Linked DNA regions of Struthio camelus. Each later gene encodes a partner of the first gene's protein in a complex. Links are inferred from orthologs where the notes say so. Each region holds a gene or a part of one and is shown in the gene's direction. Other genes may lie near its edges.

Region 1 (7,589 bases):
TTATTTGCTGAAGATAGTCATCACAATTTCCATTTCTAAACCAAAAGAATAGTAAATTGGCACCCTGGGAACTCCAAATGCAAGAGCTTAGGCGAGAAGCACCAAAAATTTTTGCCAGTATTCCCATTAAAATCACGAAAGGTTTTAGCTGCATGGCACCACTTCTTAAATGAGAAACCTTCATCAGATGCCTGCTACTGATCTAGTTGTGACTTTCCACTTACCAGCAGAACTACAGACCAGTTAAAAATGCCTTGGAAATTGTTGAATCCACTCCCACATGATAACAGAGATTCACACAGTGAATGACAGCTGGGAAAAAATATTGAAGAGTTCTAGAAATGATTCTATTTTCACTTTGTTATTAAAAATGCTGTTTGCAATACTAACTATAACATCTGGTTTACCTCATCACTTTAATTTTCCTTTTCGGTAGGTACTTAAAGGAGTTTGAAATTAATTTTACAAGCTGGCCAGAGATCCTGCTGACATTGCTACCTTCTGTCTGAAAGATGATAACTAGAAGCTGGGAAACCAAGTTCTACTTTTGCCTTCCCACAGGATGCTTGGTAACCCTAAATCCCTTCCCTTTTTCTGTGGCCGTTCTCCTATCTGCAAAATGTGCCATGATTCTCCTCCCTTCCTCCACATGAAAAGACATGATACTTTGAGATGTAAACCTGACCATGGTAGATCATTAATAACATTGCCAAATCTCTCCCATTTGCAGATGAACTGAACCGGCAGGTGATTATCTCCACAGTTTAACTAGTGACTTGTGCTGCTTCCCCTTTTCCTTCAAAAAATAAAATTGCTACTAGACTGCAGAATCTATCTGTTAGAGAGCAGTATTTATTCATATGACATAGCACTTAACTCTCTTACAGGTAATCCAACTGAAGCCAATAGGTTTATTTGAGTTATAGGTCCATATTTGCACAACAAAGGGCTTGCAAAAGCTTGTATCAAAAATACAATATGGCATTACTTACAAAGAATAACTCCCATTGCCAGGCAAGTTAACTGATTAGGAAATGCAAATCTATTCTTATGAGTTGAAGTCCCAGAAGGAAAAGGGAGGGTCTGAGCCATCTCAGAAAGGGCAGGAATGTAGGCGGAGGGCCTGAGGTACAATCTGCTGCCTTCCCTCAGCCCCCACATCGTGAAATGGAAACCTCTGCTCGCAGATGTGTGCATGCCACACACCTGAGTGGTCCCTGTGCACCTGGGAAGCTTTCAGCCAGGCCTGGCTTCACTGGAATCAGTGGTCTCATTTAGGGACATGAAGACAGCCAGGATCCCTGCCATTGTTTCTAATTACTTGATAACAAACACAAATAGTAAAAGCAAGTCGTGCTATAAGCATATATGGCACTTGAGACTCCAAATGAGAGGAGAAGTAGGCTCAGTTTCAGACTTTGTCTGTGCTGTTGAGACTGATGTTTCCCCTCTCACTTTGATTTTGAAAAGTCAGGTGAGGAGAGGTGGCAGGGAGTGGTACCTCCTGCTCTAATGCCTGCCCCAGTAATCTCATCAATATCCTGCTGCTTCTTCAGTTGTTTCATTTCATGTCTTTAATCTTATTTAAATTACCCAAGACAGCAGCACCAGCTGACACTGTCAGAACAGCACATACACATGCTGTCACATCACATCGCAGCAACTGCAACATCCATATCATACACGCCAGCCAGCTCTGATCAAATGCAAGTCCCTAGAAGCAGCAAGTAGTACAGTTTTGCTTCCCTGAGCTTATCTGAGATATTAAATAGGCTCAATTTCCTGATATTTGAGACTTAAGAAGTCCATAGGTGGGATTCAGCTACTGTCCCTTGCTTTCTAAGTTTTTATTCTTTCCTCTACTTTTCCCTGGCCTCAATTTATCTACCATACCTGGGAGTGATGTGTTTTTTACCCATCACAGTCAACGCTTCAGTAGTATTTTGCTCTGCTGTCCTCAGGTTTTGGCAGCTGCTCTCCCTCACCACCTCCCTCCCTCCTCCACCATCTTCTCTCAACATTTCTTTCTCTTTCTTCTTCTTAGCACACTTCTGCTCCCTTCTCTATTCTGCTTATTGAACAATTCTTGTCTCTTCAAAGCTACAAATGCAGGAGGAGAAGGAGGCCTCCAGCTTATACATACACAATGTACAAGCAGGGTCAGTTATAACACAAGCCGTTCCCTTTCTTTCAGAGAGGTCTTGAAATCATATTTATTAAAACAGAAAATGGTTTGGGATGTTGGACTGATTATGCATAGTTTTAAATTAAGATTCACTCACAAGCGTTCAAGGATAAGAGCCTTCCTATACCTTTCTCGGGATGGGAAGGCAAACTGGTAGTATGAAAAGGGGAGACGTTTGCTTGCCAAATCCATCGTTCTTTACAATTCACACAGAACAACTCATCAGCTGATCTTACAATGAGTGAAAAGATCTTCCCCTTTGAGATCTTCCTTCAAGTTTGTCCAATACCTTAGTCTCTCTGGGTCTTCATGCCTTACTTCAGTACCACATGCTACAGGCTGAGGCATCTCAGGACATAGAAAAAGGGTAGTTTTCTTTCTTCTTCTTGTAGACATCTTACTTCTGCACCCTAGGAAAAGAGCTTATTCCAGTTATGTAGCTTTCTTCTCACTCAAACAGTGCAAGCTTTCATATTTAGCATAGAGTTTTGTTCCTTAAACCCAGTTAATCAGGGAATATCCTTATTAATTAGTAATCCTTATTAATCCTTATTGATTAATTAATTAATCAGTAAATTATAATTTTATCAGAACTATCCTTTAAAAAATGCTTCTGTAAATTGCCCTGTAACTCATTTGGAAAATGTGCAACGACAGAAATATTTATTTTCTAAAAGGAAAGATTTCTTCTCGCATTGAAAAAAACAGGACCATAGTTAAGATTGTTCCCTGTAATAAAATGTCTATTTTCTGTGCCATGGATAAAAATTCAGTGTCTTACTACAAATTACCTTTTACACAAACTCTTTTCAGGAGCAGGCAGTGGCCTTCCAGCTGTTTTCAAGATTTAAGGCACCTTATTAATGGGAAAAGGGGGCATTACAAAATCCAATATATGCACATGTGTGTGGGTGTCACATTTACATACACATGTGCATATATTTCTTCTGCTCACTGGTCTCTACCCCTGCTACTTGTCTAACAAATTGACAGCACTTAGATTTTCACAAATCCAGCATACCACAGTTCCCCTAAACCTGCTGCTTCGTAGTTAGCTGGCTGTATTTGTATAGCATGTATTGCCATGGTACCTAAGGGATGTGCAGATGATGGAAGTGCCTCATCCTAACGGCTCAGGCTCTGCAGCTTTATTTTTCTTTCACTGTTATTTTCTTAGTACAAGATAAAATAGTACAAGATTTAATAAACTGGTGCAAATTTTGACTGTTTTGTCGTTTGACTTTGATCAAGATATTAAAGTACCAGTGTGCTCATTAATGAAGCCAAAAAAAAAGAAGAATCAAATCGCAGCAAATCCAGGTTGAGCAAACAGCAGGGCAGGGAACGCCGAGGTCACCAGAATCATAAGATAATTGAAGAGACATTATCTTACACCTTAGTTACATACTGAAAATGTTTTTAAACAAATCATCAGAATCCCTACAAATAACTGTCATTATTTTTTGGGGGCAGTGTCAGGTCTCGGGGTTGCAGCGCTGCTCAGCTGCTTGCTCCTCTTCCCGAGCGGAGCAGCTACACGCGATGGGAGGCAGAGGCTGCAGTATTTACTCGGTATTTTAAATAACCTGACTTTACAGATCGTCGTGCATATAGAGCACAGCGTTTGCAGCATTCACGGCTCAAGGAAGAGCAAGGCAACTTTAATGCGGTGAAGAATGAACTCAAACAAAAGCACAGGGTCCGATTCCAGTTTGCTACTTCAACACATATCTGAGGTAAAATCCAGATAAAACCAGAGGGCAACACTGGCTTGATGCTAGCACAGCCAAGATCAGGACGCAGCCCAGAGCGTTTGATCCCACCATCGCAATGCGCCTCCATTAGGGGCGCAGGGCAGGCTCGGCGGCACAGTCGGGGAGCGGGGCGCCGCCGTGACGGACCGCCACCGGGCCGGGCCGCAACCGCCCGCGGGCGCGGGGCCCTGCCGGGGCGGGGCGGTACCACGGGCCGGGCCGGGCCGGGGCTGTGCCCATGGGGGCGAGGTCTGTGTCGTCGCGAGGGCTGCGAGGACGGGGCGTGCCTGAGGGGACGGGGCTCTGCCTAGCAGGGAGCAGCCTGGAGGCAGGCCTGTGCCGCCGAGGGGGCCTGGCTACAGCTGTGAGGGGCCTGGGGGCGGGGCTATGCCTCAGGGGCCCGGGCTCTGCCGAGGCGAGAGGGTCTGGGGGCGGGGCTGCGCTCGTGGAGGGGCCCTTGGGCGGGGCTGTGCCCGGTAGGAGGCGTGGCTATGGCTGAAGGGGTGGGCCCGTGCCCAAGGGGCGGGGCGGAGCCCCGGAGGGCCGGCTGTGCCCCCGTTACTCACCGGGAGCCCCCGCCCTCACATGCTGCGCCTCCCGTTGCCCAACGTCCCGCCGGCAGTTACCGGCCGCCCCGCCCCGCTTCCGGCGGCGCCGCGCGCGTTCGGAGCCGTCTCTCCCCCGGCCCCCGCCGGCGTTGCGGCGTGAGGGCCGCGCAAGAGCGCCGCGGCGGGGGGAGGCACCTGCTTTGGGCTCTCCCGGTGCGGGGGGACGGGGACGGACAGCGCCGCTACCCCTCCTACTGGAGCCGGCCCGGCGGGGACTGTCGGTGCCTATCCTGCGGTCGCTAATCGTTTGCTCCCGCCTCCCGAGGAGTCCCCAGGACGCATGCGCCAGGGCGCGCTTTCTGGCCGCAGCTGATAGAGTCTGCCCGAGTGAGCGGGAGCCGCGGCCTGAGGTGTCCGGGCCGCTTCGCGTCCGCTCGCCTTGCCATGTCCGAGGCGTATTTCCCCGTGGGCCCCGGGCTGGGGCCCGAGGAGAACTTTCTGTCGCTGGACGACATCCTCATGTCGCAGGAGAAGCTGCCGGGCCGCGCCGAGAGCACCCTGCCCCGCCTGGCCTTCGCGTTGGGCCAAGGAGCCGGCGCCGGTCCGGGTGACTCCATTCCTGAGGTAACCGTCGGGCGAGGGCAGCAGGAACTACAACTGCCAGCAGCGGCCGCGGGGCGCGGGCGGGCACCTGTGCGGCGGCGCGGGGTACACTGGGAGCTGTAGGCGCCGCCCCACCGAGCTGTGGCATGGGACAGTGTAGCGTGGAGCTGCTGACGGGAGATCTCCCCAGCAGGTTCCCCCGGTATCCCTCTGCCTCTCGTTAGATCAGGAATCGGCCCTGGTGGCTTTGCAATCTGATGCCTCGGGCTGCGTGTGGTTTTGGTACAGAAGCCTGTACCCTGCTCTGGTTGCAGCATGGGACCTTTGAGATGCTTGGTGAAATCGGAGGACAAGCTGTAAGGGAAGAAAGCATCTGTATGGCACGTCCTGTGTCTGAGCAGAGCATGCCACTGAGCCGATTTATGTAGCTAGAATTTTCCTTCACTTCTCAAGCGTTTTGTAGTCTTATTTCTCCTAAATGTTACAAAGAGGCAAGAACCCTAGGAAGTATGGATTCCCTCTTCACTTTGAACCCTAGTGGAATGGTTCCCTGGCTCGTGCATCCAGTGTTCAAGCTGTAGGGCATGGCTGCTGTTCCCATGTGGGCTCAGAGAGCTCATGGGTTCGCCACGATACTGCAGACTTCTTTCCATGTGTTGCAGGCTCCAGATGGGGCCCTGGACTGATCTGGGGCCCTAGTGCTGAAAAGACTTGCGTTTCAAGTTATTTTCTTGAAAAACAACCTCCCTCTTGCTGCGAGGATAACATACGAGTGATTTTTTTTGCCTCTGTTTTTAGGGGTGCTGGAAAGAAACTTTTAGCTGTTGTTGTATCTTTTATCTTTGTTGTAGTCATTTTGCACCTTTTTCTTCCTGCGTTTCATAGTCTCCTATCCACTCCAATAAAATGCTTTCAGAGTCTGGCAGAAATAATTAATGCCTCTGAAGTGCATCTATTTCATATTTTCGCCACAGTAGAATTTTGTAAACAGAACTGACTTTTTGTAATACTTTATTCTTCATTATTAAAGCTCACTGTCTTTTTGGGGGGTTTATACGTATTTTCCTGGGGAGGACAACTTTTGTTTCTGTCACATTCATGCAGGGATCAAAGCTAGAAATACCTCTGTGGCTTGCTAAAGGGTTACATGACAGCAAGAGAAGAATAATTTCTATGGAACTGCCAAAGATTTACAAGGAGGCCTGGAGGACAGTGTTCAGTGCTGATGCCAATGTGGTTGATCTGCATAAAATGGGACCATACTACTATGGATTTGGCTCCCAGCTCCTGAACTTTGACAATCCAGAGAATCCTGAGATAGCTCAGACTATCTTGCAGGCAAGTAATTGAACTAAGTCATGGAATTTCATTTGATGTTTTTCCATCTTTTCCTTGTTCCCAACTGCTCTGCAATACCCAGAAAAAATATTCTGTTTTAATCCAGATGACTTTTGACTTGAGAAAGGATTTCTAGATCAGGCTGTGTGATCGTTTTTGTCAACTGCAGAGCCTGGTGCAGTTAATGGAAGTCCCAAGCATGCATCCAGGAGTGTAGCTTTAGCTTGGAATTTTCTACTGTAAATATGACATTTCATAAAAATACAATAAAACAGGACTAGAGGAGAGGTAAGATTATTTAGTCAGTGCCCTTGCTCCGAGGCAGAATGAATTCGCCCTATATTATTTCTATTTATCTAACTTTTTTTGAAGCTCCCTAATGATGGGAGGTTTCACAACCTCCCTTGGCAATCTTGTTTCAGTGCTTTACTGTCCTGGTCTTAGAAGGCTCCCTCTATTGTCTAAACTAAATCTCCTTTGCTCCAATATAAGCTCTGTTCTATTCGTTCCATCCAAAGTAAACACAGTGAACAGATTATTCTCTTCCTTCCTGCAATAGGCTTTTTTGTATTTGAACGTTGTTGAGTGTGTTCCCAGTCCTGGTTTCTCCACACTGGAATAAATGGTCCCAATTCATTCAGTATCGCATTGTGGGTCATGCTTTCTAGCCTTTACTTGTCCTTATTGTGCACTGCTGGAGCCTTTCCAGTTGATATGCATCTGCTTTGAAGTGCAGTGCTCTGAACAGCATACATTCTCCTGCTTCAGCCTTGCCTTGTGCTGATGAAAACAAAACAAAAAAAAAATTACTTTATGAATTTCTTAGGCCATGCTGCAGTTTGTTCATTCTGATGCAGCACTCTTGTTTTTCATAATAGCTTGACATTGATGCACATTCAGATTGCAGTCCACAGTGAAATGGTATAGATTGCGTACCCAGACCATTGTTCTTCATCCTGTATTTGCTGTTGTTTTCAGACCATATCTCTAATTTGTCAGGATAATTATGAATTACAGTTCTACCCCCCCAGCATGCTTGCAGTCATTCCTCCTCCTCCCTCATGTCGTTTGCAAACTTAATAAGCATAATTTGTATCCTGTTATTAAGCTCATTAATGAAAATATCCGCTAGTACTGGGTTTCAGTTAGAACCCTGTAGAA
Region 2 (7,689 bases), on another chromosome or scaffold:
CTTAGAAAGTAAGTATTGATTTGTTTTCACCCATGATGACAAAGTTCAAAACTTGTTCTTTTATGGTCTCATACTAATGAAAATTTCAGTTACCTAGGAAAATAATCACTGAAGCATAACTTACAAGGAAAAGAATTTTTTTTTTCAAATATACAGAATTTGATGCCTGCATTGTGGTGAATGGCGCAGAGTCAAGTTGGAGGCCTGTAGCTAGTGGTGTCCCCCAGGGGTCAGTCCTGGGTCCAGTCTTGTTCCATGTATTCATCAGTGACCTGGAGGAAGGGACAGAGTGCACCCTCAGCAAGTTTGCTGATGATACTAAACTGGGGGGAGAGGCTAACACACCAGAAGACTGTGCTGCCATTCTGAGGGACCTGGACAGGCTGGAGAGGTGGGCGGAGAGGAACCTCCTGAAGTTCCACAAAGGCAAGTGCAGGGTCCTGCACCTAGGCAGGAATAATCCCATGCACCAGGACAGGCTGGGGGTTGACCTGCTGGAAAGTAGCTCTGCAGAGAAGGACCTGGGAGTGCTGGTGGACAACAAGTTAAACATGAGCCAGCAGTGTGCCCTTGTGGCCAAGAAGGCCAGTGGGATCCTGGGGTGCATTAGACAGAGTGTTGCCAGCAGGTGGAGGGAGGTGATCCTGCCCCTCTCCTCAGCCCTGGGGAGGCCTCACCTGGAGTACTGTGTCCAGTTCTGGGCTCCCCAGTACAAGAGAGACATGGCGCTCCTGGAGAGAGTCCAGCGGAGGGCTACCAAGATGATTAGAGGGCTGGAGCACCTCTCCTATGAAGAAAGACTGCAAGAGCTGGGCCTGTTCGGCCTGGAGAAGAGAAGACGGGGGGGGGGAATCTGATCAATGTGTACAAGTGTCTGAAGGGAGGGGGGTGTCAAGAGGATGAGGCCAGCCTCTTCTCCGTGGTGCCAAGTGACAGGACGAGAGGCACCGGGCACAAACTGAACCACAGGGAGTTCCATCTGAACACAAGGAGAAACTTCTTTCCTGTGAGGGTGACAGAGCACTGGCACGGGTTGCCCAGAGAGGTTGTGGAGTCTCCTTCCCTGGAGATGTTCAGAAGCCGTCTAGACACGATCCTGAGTAACGTGCTCTAGAGGCCCCTGCTTGAGCAGGGGGGTTGGACTAGATGGTCTCCAGAGGTTCCTTCCAACCTAAACGATTCTGTGATTCTGTGATTCATATTATTTATATTTCCAAGGGTCTGTGTCTACAGCTAGATATAGAAAATACTGTTAATGACCTAGAGATTAAAAGCAAGCAAAAATGATGAACAAACGTCATGGTCTCTTCTTCTATTTTCTTTTAGCAGCATTCCCCAAATCCACAATTACCTGTGAAAGGGAAGCTCTAAACAGGTTAATTCCGCTAGACAGCAATGGTCTCTTCTGATATGATACTAAACTATAAGGTGTTAAAAGAGTTCACTTACTTGTCTTTAATCTTACTAACTCAAAAGTCTTGCATGCTTTCATTGCAATGACTACAAGGTTATAGTTGTTTCATGTTCTGTGTACTTCCAAAAAACCCTGATATTCTTGCAGATTTGTCTCCTGAAGCTTGAAATGATTTGTTTTTTTAACTCATTCATAAGGTAATTGCATAAGTTTAATCAGCTTTTACTTTATGTAGAAGGAAAAGTGTTTCAGTCACACACTGTGCTCCTAACTTTGTATTCTCATCCTTTATCCCTTACGGTTTTCCCGATAATAATAAAATGAAGATTAAACAACTCTGAAAGACTTCTCTTGTAGGAAGACCTTTCTCAGAGAAAATACCAAGCTCCATCTGTTTCAGTTTCCAAACAAAATTTGTAGAGTCTTTCAGAGTCTTTTCTCAGCTGTGGGTTATGTGTGATTTCCCCCACCCCATCCCTTACTGTGCTGCTTTTACTAATACAGTGACCAAGAACTAAAAGAGAACAGACGGGCTGGGAGCATGTCAGCTGGATTCTACTGCTGCTGCTATCCTGTTACCAACTGATGGCAAGATACACAGCCTCCTCTCACTTCAGTTCTCACAACCTGGGCATGTTGCTTCCCACTGCTATATCTGAATGGTGAGCTTATCTTTATCAGACGCTTTAGAAGCACTAGAGATGTTTGCATAGAAGTACTTTTTAATTACTTTTAATTGCTCTTTCCACAACCCAGACCTGTTGTGCTCATGCATGATCAGGTCAGACTCATTACAGCTGTGGGACAAAGTAGAATCCAAACAAATAACTTCCCTGGACTAGGACAGCTTCACGCAAGGCCAGCTCAGGTTTATCTGTATTTTAATCTAAATACTGAGAACACAGTGCAAACACACTTAAGTGTTTCTAGGTAGAGACAGCCGGCTTCGCTCAGACTTATTAGCTCTGTCTCAACAGTAGAACTCTAAGCAGGAGCAAGATGGTGGGAAGCAACTGGATCCTGTGCAACAAAGAGCCAATTTCCTCATATAAGGCTTGAGCATGAAAATGTTGGCTACTGCTAGGAAACTACAACAAAGAGCAGTTAAGTTTCAGCTAAAGTGACTCATCTGCAGAGGGATAAATATAATCACCTATGTATGTCACTTGTGCAGCGTCCCTTAGGGCAATCTCTGGAGAAATGTCTGCATTAATCATTGACTTTAGTTCTTCAGCTGTTCAAATCAACAGCCTCAATCAGCAGCCATGCCTCAGATACCTAAGCAGAAATCGCAACTTTGAGTCCTCTAACATAGAGAAAGCAAAATGATACACAGGAAATCCTGTGAATGTCAAGGGCCACTGGGTTTGTTTGTTTTTTCAATGCAACAATGATTTCTTAAGGGCTTTGGATTACAACAAGTTTTACAGCAGTGATAAACCCTTCAAAAAGCTGATAAGGGAGAGAACAAGAGCTTAACTAAACAACAAGCAGGAGGGCCTCATGAGGGGTCACCTGGCCCCAGCTGATTGTTTACAAATATGTGTCATGTAGAGGCAGCTGTCAACACACCACCGTCTCTGAAATGAGGCTCATGAGGATGACAGGAAAAAACTTTCAGACTGTAGGCAGTAAGGTAAGTACTTCAGCCTTTTAGCTCTTGTGTGGCTACAAGAACAAATCTGTATTCTTTCCAAGGCAAGCCTTCCTCTCTACGGCTATAATGGAAACAAATTCTCCCTACAGTGCACTGAGTTAGCTGTTACCCAACCCTGCAAAGCTTGAGGAAGGAGTTCTGCTCTCTGAAAAAAAGATGTGTTTTCTTGACAGTCATAACTTGAGTATGACTTACACAAACAGATTAAGTATTTGCTATTCCTTGTTTGGGTATTATCAGGGTATGCTTGGGGGATGGGGGAGAAATCATTCAAGATTGTCCCTGGTTAGGGTTTTTTTTGGTAGAGAAAAATGATGAAGAACAGCACAAATGATTGTTCTAGGGTGAATTATGATTTGTTTTAAAAACAAACAAGCGTCAGAATTAACACGCTGTTGTGCACACTTTTGCTAATACAAACAAGAATGGAACTTACTCACTACAAATCTTTTAGGAAGTAGTTAGTTCTAATATTTTCTTGTTTTCTTTGAATATAACAACACTACTGCAGGAAGTTTGTGCTGCTGGTACATTTTTAAGTATCTCAGAAACAAAAACAAAAAAAAAATTCAGTCCTCAGCTGCCTTAATCACAGCAGAAGTACCATCCAGTGTAGGTGGAGAAATTAATGTCTTTCCAGGTAGCAGAGCAATTCCAAGCAATTCTTCATTAAAATAGTTGCTGCTGGCACCTATTGCCAGCATCAGCCACCAGCAGTCGCTCAGGGGCAGCTGTCAGTCATGGCATCACTTGACAAACATTACATTATACTATCACACAGTTAAGCGCTGCATTACAAATGGAGCTAAGTAACTCCAAACCAAGGCCTGATTCTCACCTGGTTTAAAGCAGGCTCTTTTCACATGAGGCTAGTCTTTCACAAGCAGAAGGTGTTGTTGAAACACTGCAGCCCATCTTTGCCGGCGAGAAGGGCCCACAGCTGCCCGAGCAGTCACCCTCACACAGTGCAGGGCACACAGCACCCTGATTCTTCACCACTGCCCTGGATGTACCAGCAGAGTTTTAACCGCAATTATTCTAACTTTTTTCCTTCTCTAGGAAACCAGCAAACTGTAAAAGTCAGACCAGCCTAACGCTGTGCTAATTTGATCCAGATGAGGCTAACACACACCAGCCCACCAAGCTGCAAAGCCACGAGTAGTTACTATAATCACACATGGCAGGCACCTCCTTGCTCAGAGAATACATTTTTCTGTCACAGATTTAAGTCTTCAACTGCATTTACAAGTTCATTGAGCAGAAGCACAGCACCACGGCAGGGGTAACCGCTGTTGTGGGGCACAGGGCGCTGACGACAGCGGTCAGGGTCAGTTCCCCAAACCCCGAGCAGCCGCCAGCCCTGTAACACCCGGGCAGTTACCTAGAGCCCTACCGCAGCCTACATCCAGCCTCTTTAAGCCTTTCCCCTTGGGGGGGGGGGGGGAGGGGGCAGAAATTCACCTTTCCACACAAGGCGTCCCGCCCCCGCGGCGGACTAACGGCCGACCAACGGCCGCCGCCGCGCGCACGCGCGCAGCGTGACCCCGCCTCGCGCCAGCCCTGACGCCATCGCGTTTGGCGCGAAAGCGTCCGCGCGGGAGAGGGTGTGGGGGGGGTGGTGTGTGGAGGGCCGGCGGGGCGGGGCGGGGCTCTGCGGGTCGGCGGCCGCCGATTGGCCGGCGCGGCGGAGCACGTGGGTCCCGCTGTGGCGCGAACCGTTGCCGGGTGCGTGTGGCGGCGGCGGCGGCAGCGGCAGCGGCAGCGGCAGCGGCAGCAGCAGCAGCAGCAGCAGCAGCAGCAGCGATGGACCTGGCGGCCGTGGCGGGGGGCGACGCGGGCGCGGCGCAGTCGCAGCCACAGCTCCGCGATGAGGTGGCCGAGAAGTGCCAGAAGTTGTTCCAGGACTTCTTGGAGGAGTGAGTGCGGCCGGGCGGCGGCGGGCCGCGGGGTGCAGGCGCCTCAGGGAGGAGGCCGCCATTTGGCGAGGGCCGGAGCGCGGCGGGCCCCCCCCGCCCTCAGGCGGGAGCGCCCCTCCCCGGCCGCTTGGGCTCACCGCTGAGGGCCCTCTCTGTTGCGCTGCGGGTTGTCAGCCTCGGAAGGGGCGCCGGGAGGCAGCGGGCGGCTCTCCCTCCATTTGCAAAACCCCTGCGAGCTCGCTTCTGCTGCAGCTCTTCTTTCAGGCCTCTTCGCTTGGTCGCTTTTCGCAAAGTTTGGTGGCTGCCAGCTTCAAAATCCCCCTCGCGCCTTGCTTCCGGCAAGTTAATACGTTGGACTTCCGAGGCTTCGCTTTCCAGGGGGTCCTTTAGCACAAACAAGGAACCTGGGAGCGCGATCGGCCCCAAGGAAGCCAAACCCGTTCGCTTCGGTAGAGTCATCCTTAAACCATAAATAAAATCCCGGGTGATAAACCAGCTATGTGAAATGCAGACCCGGTTCTTTCTGTCTGGGGCCTTTATAGAAGAAAGGGGACAGGAGGAAAGAGGCTGTTGGGAAAGACATTTGCAAGGGAATGTGGGATGCTGTGTTTTTCCGGGATGCCCCGCGGCATATCCTTTCCTTCTTCTCCTCTGTGGCGTTCAGAAGCGTTCAACTGCTGCCCCATGTATAACTGCGAATGTTTTCTTGAACCATACTCGCTTTCAGGTTCCAGAACAGCGACGGGGAGGTCAAATACTTGCGTGATGCTGAAGAACTGATTCGGCCAGAGCGGAACACGCTGATCGTAAGCTTTGTGGATTTGGAGCAGTTCAATCAGCAGCTTTCTACCACTGTTCAGGAGGAGTTTTACAGGTAAAACGTAGAGATTACCTGAGAGCCGAGCAATGCAGTCTCAGGCCCATAAGGTCTTAACAAATATTCATCTGCTTTCACTAGGGTGAAAACTCTTACCATTTAAAACATGTTTTTTATTGGATCAAAACTTTTTTTTTTCTTACCGGACTGATACTTATTACTTCTGTCTCTTTAAGAAGCACGACTTAACTAGGCAATTGCATTTACTCTGGTAAATAGGTGATCAGTATGGAAACATAGTGTAAACTTTAGCACTTCTTACTCTGAAAATGTTTTATTGATCCAATGACTGATTTTCAGGCTCTACCACTTATTATATGGGTAAACTGGCATAAAATAAGCCTCCTTGGATAATAAAGCAAATGGTAATATGCAGTAGTCTCACATTTAGCATATTTAGACTAGCTTTGGTGTGTTCTTATATAGTGTGGCAGTATAAGACAGAACCTGCAAATGGATGGTACAAGCCTTTGACACAGGCTAAAGTGAAAAAGACATTGTGATAGTTTCTGTAAAATTTGAGCTTATTTTCTGTCTTTCAGAGTTTATCCTTATCTCTGCCGAGCAGTAAAGACTTTTGCCAGAGACCATGGAAATGTTCCTTCAAACAAGGACTTTTATGTCGCATTCCAAGATCTACCTACCAGACACAAGTAAGATGGTTACTGATTCCAAAAACTGGTGTACTTATGTGTGGGGAAAGAAATGTTCAAGCATACTGAAAATGTTTTGACTGTGTAGCAAGAAATTTCCAGTTTATCAGTGCAATTGTGAAGAAATTGCCTAATCTTGTGCAGAGTATGTTCTGAAACACTTCATCTTCTATGAATCATGCAGACACTGGGCTAGATGGGAAGGGACTATATCACTAACGTTCACTATGTCTCTAATATATCACTCTCACTAATATCACTATGTTCATCATATTCGGCAGACACATGTAGCTTGTCTTTTTGAAAAAGGATTTAGGTTAAGTTATTTTTTGAAGCACAACTGAAGTAACTTTTAGATGAATATTTAAGCTCAAACCAATATTAAAAGTTTCTGTACAGTCATAAAATGAGAAAACATTGTAGCTGTTCTTTAATCACAGACTGCTGAAACTACCTAGTGTCTTAGTACTTGAATACTACACTGGGCATAAAAATGCCAATTCAACTAAGAACTCAATCCCTATCAATTTCGTGTTTTAAACAGAATTCGAGAATTGACATCAGCAAAAATTGGCTCACTGATGCGTATCAGTGGACAGGTGGTACGTACCCACCCAGTTCATCCCGAACTTGTGAGTGGAACCTTCCTATGCCTAGACTGTCAGACAGTGATTAAAGACGTGGAACAGCAATTTAAGTACACGCAACCAAATATCTGCAGAAACCCAGTCTGTGCCAACAGAAGGAGATTCCTGCTGGACACAAACAAATCAAGATTTGTTGACTTCCAAAAGGTATATTGGTGGGGGGTGTGGGGAGGGACTAATAAAGACTTTCCTGTGCTAGTTGAAAGGGTATTGTTTGCACTGCTACACATTGATGGTAGTTAATTTTAGTTCTGTCAGCATCAAGAAAAGGCCTCAAGAAAATGCATGGGAGTTTCTACTAACAGTTTCTTTCTGTCTATGGAAGACTTATTTTTAAGCCTTGGGAAGTTATAAATAGAATCAAAGCAGCTTTATCACATGACATTTATTTTCTAAGTAAGCCAGAAAAAGCCCACATATTTAGGTCACTGTCAGTCTCCTCTGGCAGGTTCATCAAGTATAATTATTTTATACAAGTATAAAAAGAAGTGTCTCTAGTCTCTTCAGTGTTTCACTCCTTTAGAT
Region 3 (7,746 bases), on another chromosome or scaffold:
CCTCGGCCGAGAGGCCTGAACCCGTGCCCTCGCCGGGCGCTGCGGCAGCCGCAGGGCGGGTTTAGCCCCGGGAACGGCGTTTATACCTGCATCGCCGTGCGGGCAGCTAGCATCGACGCGGCTCTCGCGCTTCGTCTGTTGCTGCCGTGGGCTGGTGCTCGCCCAGCGCGTAGATCTCCTGCGCGGGCGCTTCCCTTGGCTGATTTTTTTTTGTGTTTTAAAATCACTGATTATCTCCCGACTGCCGCGGCTGTATCCCCGGGGCTGGCCGCGGGCACAGCCGCGGGTCCGCTTCGTGGTGCGTGCTCAGGCTCGAACAAACCGGCGAGGTCTCGTGCGGCCCCCGACTCGTTTTGCCCGGGGGTGAACGGGTGACGCGGGGTGCTTATTTTGGCCTAGGCGCAGTCGCTTCGCCCGACAGAAGCGAACTTCTCTGCTTGCTTGTCCGGCGTGCACCCGCTTGGCACCCGTGCGAGTCTGGGGCTTGGTTGGTGGTAGGTGACTCAACCTGGGAATAAACCTGTTCTCTGATGAAATATGAAGAAAATAACCTAAGACCAAAAAAATAGGGAGAAGTCACCTAGTCCAGCTCCCTGTGTTACATGACAACGCACAGCTCTGTCGAGCCTGCTGTAAACACGCTGCTTTGGGAGGCTGTAAGCCCTCCGCAGTAGATTTGGCTTGGTGCTGTTGGACAGGCTTCCCTGATTTATAACCCGAATCGCTGTCGCTGCCGCTCGGGCCCGTGAGTGCCGCCTTACTCGCTGGCCGTGGACAACATGCGGCTGCTGCCCTCCTCTCGGTGTGCGCCCTGGGCTGCTGCTGCCCCTCCGAGTCCTGTTCTTCAGCCTAAATACCCTGACGGAAAGGAAGGCTTGGGGACAGGGGCCACCGTGCTAACACGGGCCTGTCACCTTGGGCAGCTTTAGGCTAAGGGCTTCTAACAGCATGTGGATCGGCGGTTTGAAAAGGCTGTTTTGGCTGTAAGCGCCCCTATGGAGCTGCTGGGTCCGAGCTGCTGGCCGGCCCGGCGCTGCCCCGGCCGCGGGTGGACCTGGTGGCGGTGAAGCATCTGGCGCTAACTCACTCGGGGGACTCTGTATGTTTTCCTCCGAAACAACGGGGAGCCGGACTCGAGCTTCCCGTCCGCAAAAGGGAGAGCGCGGCAGTAATCGTGCCGCTCTTCGCCAGCCTCGTCCGGGTAAGTCGCGCGATTCTTCTGAGACGATGCTTTCTGACCGTGACCTTGGCCTCATTTCATCTGAGGATTTTAAGGACTGCTGAAATATACCGAGCAGTAATGCAATAATTCATTTGCTCGTTTCACTGAGGCACGGGTGTGGGGAAGGCGATGCCTGCGTGAGCGCTGCACCTGGCTAGAGGAGGGGCGCGCGGCCCCCGCAAGGCCTTAAGGAAGCGTCTACAGTTGTGCTTACATGAAAAATGGCTCTGCCAGCTGTAACGATAAGTTAGACTGCGTGCGTGTAAACAGCGCCAGAATGAAGGCCCGTGGCCGATAGACATCTATCTTTATTATTTCTTTTCTCCCTGAGGTTACGGTGACGGTCCCTCAGTGTGGCGTCTCCAGGCACGCCGACGAAGCGTTTGACGGGGAAGGAAAAGTGGAACGGCTCCGCTGCAGGAGGCGGCGATCTGCCCGTGGAGTATGCAAATACGTTTCTGACCAGGTATTTTTCAACCGCTTTCTTTGCTGTTCAAGGAGGCAGTCAGGTCCTATCGCCAATCCTGCCCTATGGGAAGGGGCAGTAAACTGATGGTGGCTCTAGGCGGGACAGCGAGCTGCCTGCTCACGTGGCCTCTCCGTTATCCTGAGGCTGGGATCGCTGTGCAGATGAACCGCTGGCAGCTGTGGGCCCGAGCGGGTCGTTTTACAGCACATCCCCTTTTTATGGCTGGTTTAATATATTTTTCCGCATGTTTTATTTCCCTTGCAGCACGCGCGGTGCCGTCAGCCAGACAGCCGGGACAGGCCCCCGGCAGCAACCCCACAGGCCCGGCAGCCTCGGCGCCAGGGCTGCCGTCGCAGCGAAGAGCTTTTCTGGCCCAGCCCGCGTCCTCAGCAGCTGCGGAGCCCGGTCCCCGGGGCGCTGGGGCGAGCACCGGCTGCCTCAGGCCCCGGGGGGCTTCAGGTCCCGAAGGGAGCAAAGCGTCCGCGGGTCAATGTCTGGGTTCACCCCCCTGGAAAGGGCTGTTCCAGCCTGAACAGCTGGACTGGGCAGGAGGCAAAGACCCAGGGGGAGCCCACCGCGTTTGCGGGGCGCAGCAGCGCAGCAAGGACGCGACCTTTCCAGCTCGGCCCCGGCAGCAGCTCCCGGTCCTCGGACCCGCGTCCCCCAGGACTGCACCTGGCTCGGCCCTGCTGGATACAGCCCCAACAGTAGCAGCCGGGTTCACTTTGGGGGAAAACAGGGTCTCTCTGCTCCGAGCCAGCGCTCCGCTCACCCCCCCGCACAGGGCACGAGGTGGGTGGGTTGAAGAGGAGGAGAAATCCCCTTGGGAGCAATGGGGCCGGTGCAGGGAGAGACTAAGTGAGGTGTGGGGGGGCAAAAAATCAGCGAGGCTTTTTTTGTGGAGGGGGGCGGGGGCTGAGCCCGAGCCCGGGAGAGGCTGAGGGAAGGGTGTTGGCCCCCCCTCCCCAGCCTACCCTGGGCCTGGTTCAAGCCTACGCCCCCTCCGCAACAGGGACTAAGTGAGCTGTGGGGGGGCAAAAAAGCCTCGCTGATTTTTTGTCCCCACACACCTCACTTAGTCTCTGCCAGCACTGACCCAATGCCTTTAAGAAAGAGGCCAAGCCCGGGGGGGGGGGGGGGGTGCAGTGAGATATTTGTATCCCTGGGGCTGCCAAGTCCCAAACCCTGGGATCAGGGGATGCCGGGGCAGGATTCGTCCCTGGAGATGGTCTCTGCAGCGACGGTGGCCTCCCCCCCCCGCCCAAGGGTGCGCAGATGGTGCCGGGCTCCAGTCGCAGGCAGGTCGCCCCGAGCAGGGGCTGCGGAGGGCGGGCGAGGAAGGGGCCTGCTGAGAGCGGCGCTGGGGCTAAATAAACAAACCCTGGATTGAACACAGCGAGTGTCGCGCTGCTGCTGCTGCTGGGGGGGGGGCTGCACCGCTCCAGTGTGTATTTATTTCCCAGAGCCAAAACCCCGCAGCGGGCTGCGCCCGTGCACGGTCCCACTGCGCTTGTCCCCGGCGCAGCAGCGCAGCCAGGTGGGACGCAGCTCCCAGAAGCGGAGCGAGCGCGGGCTGCGTCCTGCCGCGGCTCCTCCGCGAGGGGTGCGCCGAGGCGACCCGCAAGTCTGCTCCTCCTGGGGCTGGAAAGCGCCTTCAGCGCCTCTGGGCGGCGGCAGCCGGCGTCCCACGAGGCGGCTCCCGGCAGCGGGCAGGGAGGGCGCTGCCAGGGGCCAGGGACCCGCCACCAGGACCTGGCAGCACAGGGCGCGCAGCCCGGCAAAATCGCAAAATCAAGGCGCGCTCGCGCTTCTCACCAGCAGGGACAAAAGCCCCGCTTCCCCGAGCAGGGCCGGGGCTGCGCTGCAGGCGGCTTTGCAGCCCTCCGCGGCGAGCGGCCCCAGCTCCAGCCCCCCGGCCGGGCTGTGACAGCCCGGGCTCCCCAGCGGCGCTGCCGGCCCCGCGGCGCAGCCGGCCCGGGGCGAGCGGCTGGGAAAGCCGCTCTCGGCCACGCCGAGCCCCCGGCAGGGGCGTCCCGCCCAGCCGCGCTCCGGCACCGCGCACACGCGTCGACCGCGGCACCGGGGCCGTCCCGCTCCCACAGACCTGCTGATTGCCGCGGCTCCGGGTCCTCCCTGCTCACCCGCTGCGCCAGGCTCTGCTCCCCACCGAGGGGCGACAGCGGCGTCTCCATCCCGCTTCCCCGGCCGGCCCCAACGGCGCCACGGACACGATCCCGCTGCCTCCTCCTGCTGTCCCGGCGCATCCTCCGGGCGGGCTGGAGAGCGAGCCAGGAGACCCCACAGATGAGGGGGCTGGAGAGAGATCCTGGAGACCACTGCAGCACCGACACCAGGGCAGCGGGTGCTTTCCCCGCCGCCCCGGCGACAGAGCTCGCTGTGTCCCACACACGAGCCCCGGCCGGGCTGGAGGACGCCGCGCCGCCGCTGGCGGCTGAAGGGCAGCTCCCAGCTCCGGCCCTCAGAGAGCAGCAGAAAGGGCCAGCCGCAGGGGGAATCTGGGCTCCTTCCTCACCCCTTTCCCTGGCTTCCAGCGCTGGGGTCCGCAGCGCAAGCAGCGTCCAGCCGTCATCCAGCTCCCGCCGTCGCGGAGCGCCCCCCGGGCGGGCTGCGAGGGTCGCGGCAGGGCGGCCTGGAGCTGGGCAGAGGCCCGCGGGCGACCGCGGAGCCCACCCCTGCGTCACCGCGGCGACAACGAGCGTTACCCGCCGCCGCCCTGCCGGGCTGGCCGCGGCCGCGGCCCGGCGGGCACAGCGCCGCCCGCCCTCGCCCCCGGCCCCGGCCGCGCCCCCGGCCCCGCTCACCCGCAGCCGCCCGCCGCTCCCGCCCCGGCGCGCGCGCGGGAAACCGGCCCCGCCGCAGCCAATGGGGGCCGGGGGCGGAGCGGGAGCCGGCGTGACGCGCTCCCCGGGGGCGGAACGTCCTAACGCTGGCTACCGCCCCCCCCTCTCCCCCCATCGCGTGCGCCTGTCTGCGCGGTGCCGCCGGGGCCAACGCTCCGCCCCCCGGGGGCGCGTCACGCCGCCCGCGGCCCCCATTGGCTGGGCCGCGGGGCCGGTTTCCCGCGCCCGCGCGCGCCGCGGCAGCATGGCCGGCGAGCGGGCGGCGGGGCTGGTGCGGGAGCTGCACCGCGCCGCCGGCGGGCACCTGCCGCCCTTCCGGGTGAGCGGGGGGCCGCGGGGCGGGCCGGGATCCCGGGGGTCCCGAGGGCCCCGGGCTGACCGTGTCGGTGCCGCAGGCGGAGGGGCTGCGGCAGGCGCTGGAGGAGATGCGGGCGCTGTACGAGCGGAACCAGGCGGACGTGTGAGTGCCGGGCCGCGGGCCGTGCCCGCCGCCGGGCCGCGGCGAGCCCCGCACGCCCGGCGGCACCGGGAGCGGCGTCTGCCCCGCCGTAACGTGCCGCCTCCTTCTCCAGGTCCGAAGCGAAGTCGGGGCGGACGGACCTCATCTTCCTCATCCGGTTTCGCCACTGCTGCCTGCTCCGAAACCAGCGCTGCGTCGTGGCCTACCTGTGAGTGCGGCAGTGCCGGACCGGGCGCTCCGGCTCAGCCCCTCGGCAGAGAGCAGCTGTCGGGGGCATGGAGCATCCCTCTTTCCCCCCTGCTCTCTGAAAGCTTTTAATTAGCAAATAGATCCAAAACCACCGCCTTGAAAGGAAGGAGGGTGGAACGACCCCGGTTTTGCACTTTGCTTTGAGGAGTGATCCGAGTGTCTGCATTGCCCAGGTGTAGTGCCAGCGCTGGTCTCAGCAGAGAGACCTTGGAGCGAGGTCTCTCTCTCTCTCTCTCTCTCTCTCTCTCTCTCTGTCCCTTCTTTCTTCCCCCAGGTACGACCGGTTGCTGCGGATCCGCGCTCTCAGGTGGGAGTATGGCAGCGTCCTGCCAAACGCCATCCAGTTTCACATGTCAGCGGAGGAAGTGAGTCAGCCTTGTCCCCTTTTCCCTCCCTTCCACTTATTCCTCCCCAGAAACCATCAGGTTAGCCGAGTCAAAATAGGATAGACTTTTTTTTTCCACTCTAGATGCACGATGTTTTGTGTGCCTTTCTGCAAGTATCCGTTTGTTTCCTCATTGTCCTTCCAAGGATGCAATCCCAAACGGATGCTGAGTGCAGGCGCAGCTTGGCACCGTTCGGGATCAGAAGGTCGTCACCCGATCGCCCTCGCACCCGGCGCGGCAGGCTCTCCCTGTGCTCGTCTCAAACGCCATTTGTAAACTGAAGTACAGCGCTGCTGATCTTGTTTCCAGCACGTGTCCCAGTCTGATCCCCGGCTGCCCTGTGCCTGGGGCAGTTTATTCCCTTTAGAAGAGCTTGTGCGCTCCTTCGGCTGGCATGAGCACGCCTGGGAACAGTGGTCTGACAGCACAGATACACCAGAGCCGATTCATCATGGACCTCCTCCCTCAGCATTAGCTATGCGGGGGCATGGAGATGTCTCTCTCAGTAAAGGTTCTTCTTTAATCTTAAACTTGAGAGAATCACTTTTGTCCCAAGAGTGGCAAGGGCAGACCCCTGGGTCCTAGGCAGAATCCCTGCTGGTTAGTCCCAGTAGCGCAAATCCCTTTGGTCCTGCTAGTCTGGATTTTTGTAGCAGAATCTTGCATCTGTGGGTGATAACGCGGCAGTTTTGTTTTTAAAGGCTTAAAACCGCCTCTTGAAATAAAGCTCTGTTTGCTGTTAATGTCCACAGGTGGAGTGGTTCAACCGGTACAAAAAATCTCTGGCCACCTACATGAGGTCAGTAGGCGGAGAGGAGGGGCTGGACCTTACGCAGGACATAAAGCCTCCTAAAAGCCTGTACATCGAAGTAAGTGCAGGACTGGCGGCTTCTGTCTGCGTTGGGGGTGGCGGGAGGCACTTGACCGAGCCACTCTCCTTTAGAGATCTCGGCTTCCTCCCGAGCTGGGGAGTTCACTGAGCAAAGCCATTCGATAAACTCTGCCCGCCAGTGTTTTACTCTCTCTTCTTCTGAGAGCTCAAAGTATGTTGAAACATGGCATTTCCAACCTGCAGGGAACCGGTGTGTGTGTGTGTGGGGGGGGGGGGGGTCTGAATTACTGTGAAAACTTTATGCAGCATTTGTCTTGCAAAAACTGAATTTTGTCTCCCGAAAAACTCTTTGGATCAACTAGAAACCTCGTTCCCATCTTGAAGATTGTCAACTAGTTTCCTTTGTTGTTGTTTTAAATGGACTTTCATGGATGAGACTAAGCGTTGTTTTATACAATTGATGCAAGAGAGCACGAGCACCTGAACAACGGATTCGGAGGCAGGAGCTGCAGCGCTGTGTTCTGATGGTCTCTTAGGAAGAGACTTTCTAGGGGAACTAAACCTGCCCCTGAAGACGGTTTCACTGGCGTTCACAGCCTGGCATTTTCTGGCATGCGTGGGGGGGGCCTCTCCTGGCAGCGCTGCTCTTCCAGCAGCCTCCGTGGAGGGCCTGGGCTGCCCGCTGGCAGGCAGGTGCAGGAAGAGAAGGTCAGATAGAGGGAACAGGCCACGGGATCCATCTGGTTTTGCGTTTCAGGTGCCTGTCCCAGACGGAGGCTCTGCCAGGCGGGCAGGAACGGCCCCGTACTTACAGTTTGGGGGCGTGTGCGATACGTCGGCAGCGACGTGCTCCTCAGTCGGAGAGCTGCTGCTGCAGAGAGCTGCCCTTTGCCTTTGCAGGTGCGGTGCTTAAAAGACTACGGCGAATTTGAGATTGATGATGGCACCACCGTCCTGCTGAAGAAGAATAGCCAGGTACGAAAGACAACCGAGCGGGGTCCTAACCCCTTTCCTGCTCCTTCTCTTCCCCTGCGCTCCTGTGACGCTCCCCTGCTCATCCCAGCTTCGCAGCACGTTGCAGTTGCTGCACCCAGCGCCTCGCACGCGCTGCAAGCCGCCTGCGTGCCCCAGGACCGCTGTTTGACCTCGTACTGCTACACACGGCGGCGCAGCACAGAGCAGGCCGCCTGCAGCAACGCATCCAGGCGGCCTGGGTCTCAGGGAAAGTTTGTCTGTGTTCTTGTGCAGCATTTTTTACCCCGCTGGA

What was found. The genes of interacting proteins can lie anywhere in the genome.
Region 2: GINS3 (region 1) and MCM6 share a complex: the UniProt entries of both Homo sapiens proteins name them as parts of the CMG helicase complex. The link is inferred for Struthio camelus from reciprocal best matches to the Homo sapiens genes GINS3 and MCM6.
Region 3: the proteins of GINS3 (region 1) and GINS1 are in contact, whole or in part, in a cryo-EM structure (PDB 8Q6O), measured with the Xenopus laevis proteins. The link is inferred for Struthio camelus from reciprocal best matches to the Homo sapiens genes GINS3 and GINS1. Residues at the interface, in NP_001080618.1 of Xenopus laevis: Trp2, Pro4, Tyr5, Met6, Pro7, Val8, Glu16, Asn17, Phe18, Leu19, Ser20, Leu21, Glu22, Asp23, Leu24, Leu25, Ser27, Gln28, Ser37, Phe39, Pro40, Arg41, Leu42, Phe44, Leu45, Pro63, Trp65, Leu66, Gly69, Leu70; in NP_001085502.1 of Xenopus laevis: Met1, Phe2, Cys3, Glu4, Ile7, Ile10, Arg11, Leu13, Gln14, Ser17, Asp18, Gly19, Gln20, Leu21, Glu49, Arg55, Asp57, Leu58, Pro60, Thr61, Lys63, Phe64, Arg65, Cys67, Cys68, Arg71, Arg74, Cys75, Val77, Ala78.

Annotation. Positions count from the first base shown.
Region 1 is NC_090951.1:30,427,053-30,434,641, forward strand, and holds the start of GINS3 (DNA replication complex GINS protein PSF3), read left to right. Parts: upstream 1-4,516; 5' UTR 4,517-4,931; coding exon 4,932-5,111; intron 5,112-6,194; coding exon 6,195-6,428; intron 6,429-7,589. Other genes in the region: diacylglycerol O-acyltransferase 1, read right to left, coding at 225-312, 2,475-2,581. UniProt on the Homo sapiens protein: Required for correct functioning of the GINS complex, a complex that plays an essential role in the initiation of DNA replication, and progression of DNA replication forks.
Region 2 is NC_090947.1:38,880,088-38,887,776, reverse strand, and holds the start of MCM6 (DNA replication licensing factor MCM6), read left to right. Parts: upstream 1-4,687; 5' UTR 4,688-4,874; coding exon 4,875-4,987; intron 4,988-5,714; coding exon 5,715-5,861; intron 5,862-6,406; coding exon 6,407-6,517; intron 6,518-7,061; coding exon 7,062-7,311; intron 7,312-7,689. UniProt on the Homo sapiens protein: Acts as a component of the MCM2-7 complex (MCM complex) which is the replicative helicase essential for 'once per cell cycle' DNA replication initiation and elongation in eukaryotic cells.
Region 3 is NC_090944.1:139,909,545-139,917,290, reverse strand, and holds the start of GINS1 (DNA replication complex GINS protein PSF1), read left to right. Parts: upstream 1-4,744; 5' UTR 4,745-4,796; coding exon 4,797-4,871; intron 4,872-4,947; coding exon 4,948-5,012; intron 5,013-5,124; coding exon 5,125-5,220; intron 5,221-5,535; coding exon 5,536-5,626; intron 5,627-5,730; coding exon of another isoform or gene 5,731-5,928; exon of another isoform or gene 5,929-6,137; intron 6,138-6,399; coding exon 6,400-6,516; intron 6,517-7,379; coding exon 7,380-7,454; intron 7,455-7,727; coding exon 7,728-7,746. UniProt on the Homo sapiens protein: Required for correct functioning of the GINS complex, a complex that plays an essential role in the initiation of DNA replication, and progression of DNA replication forks.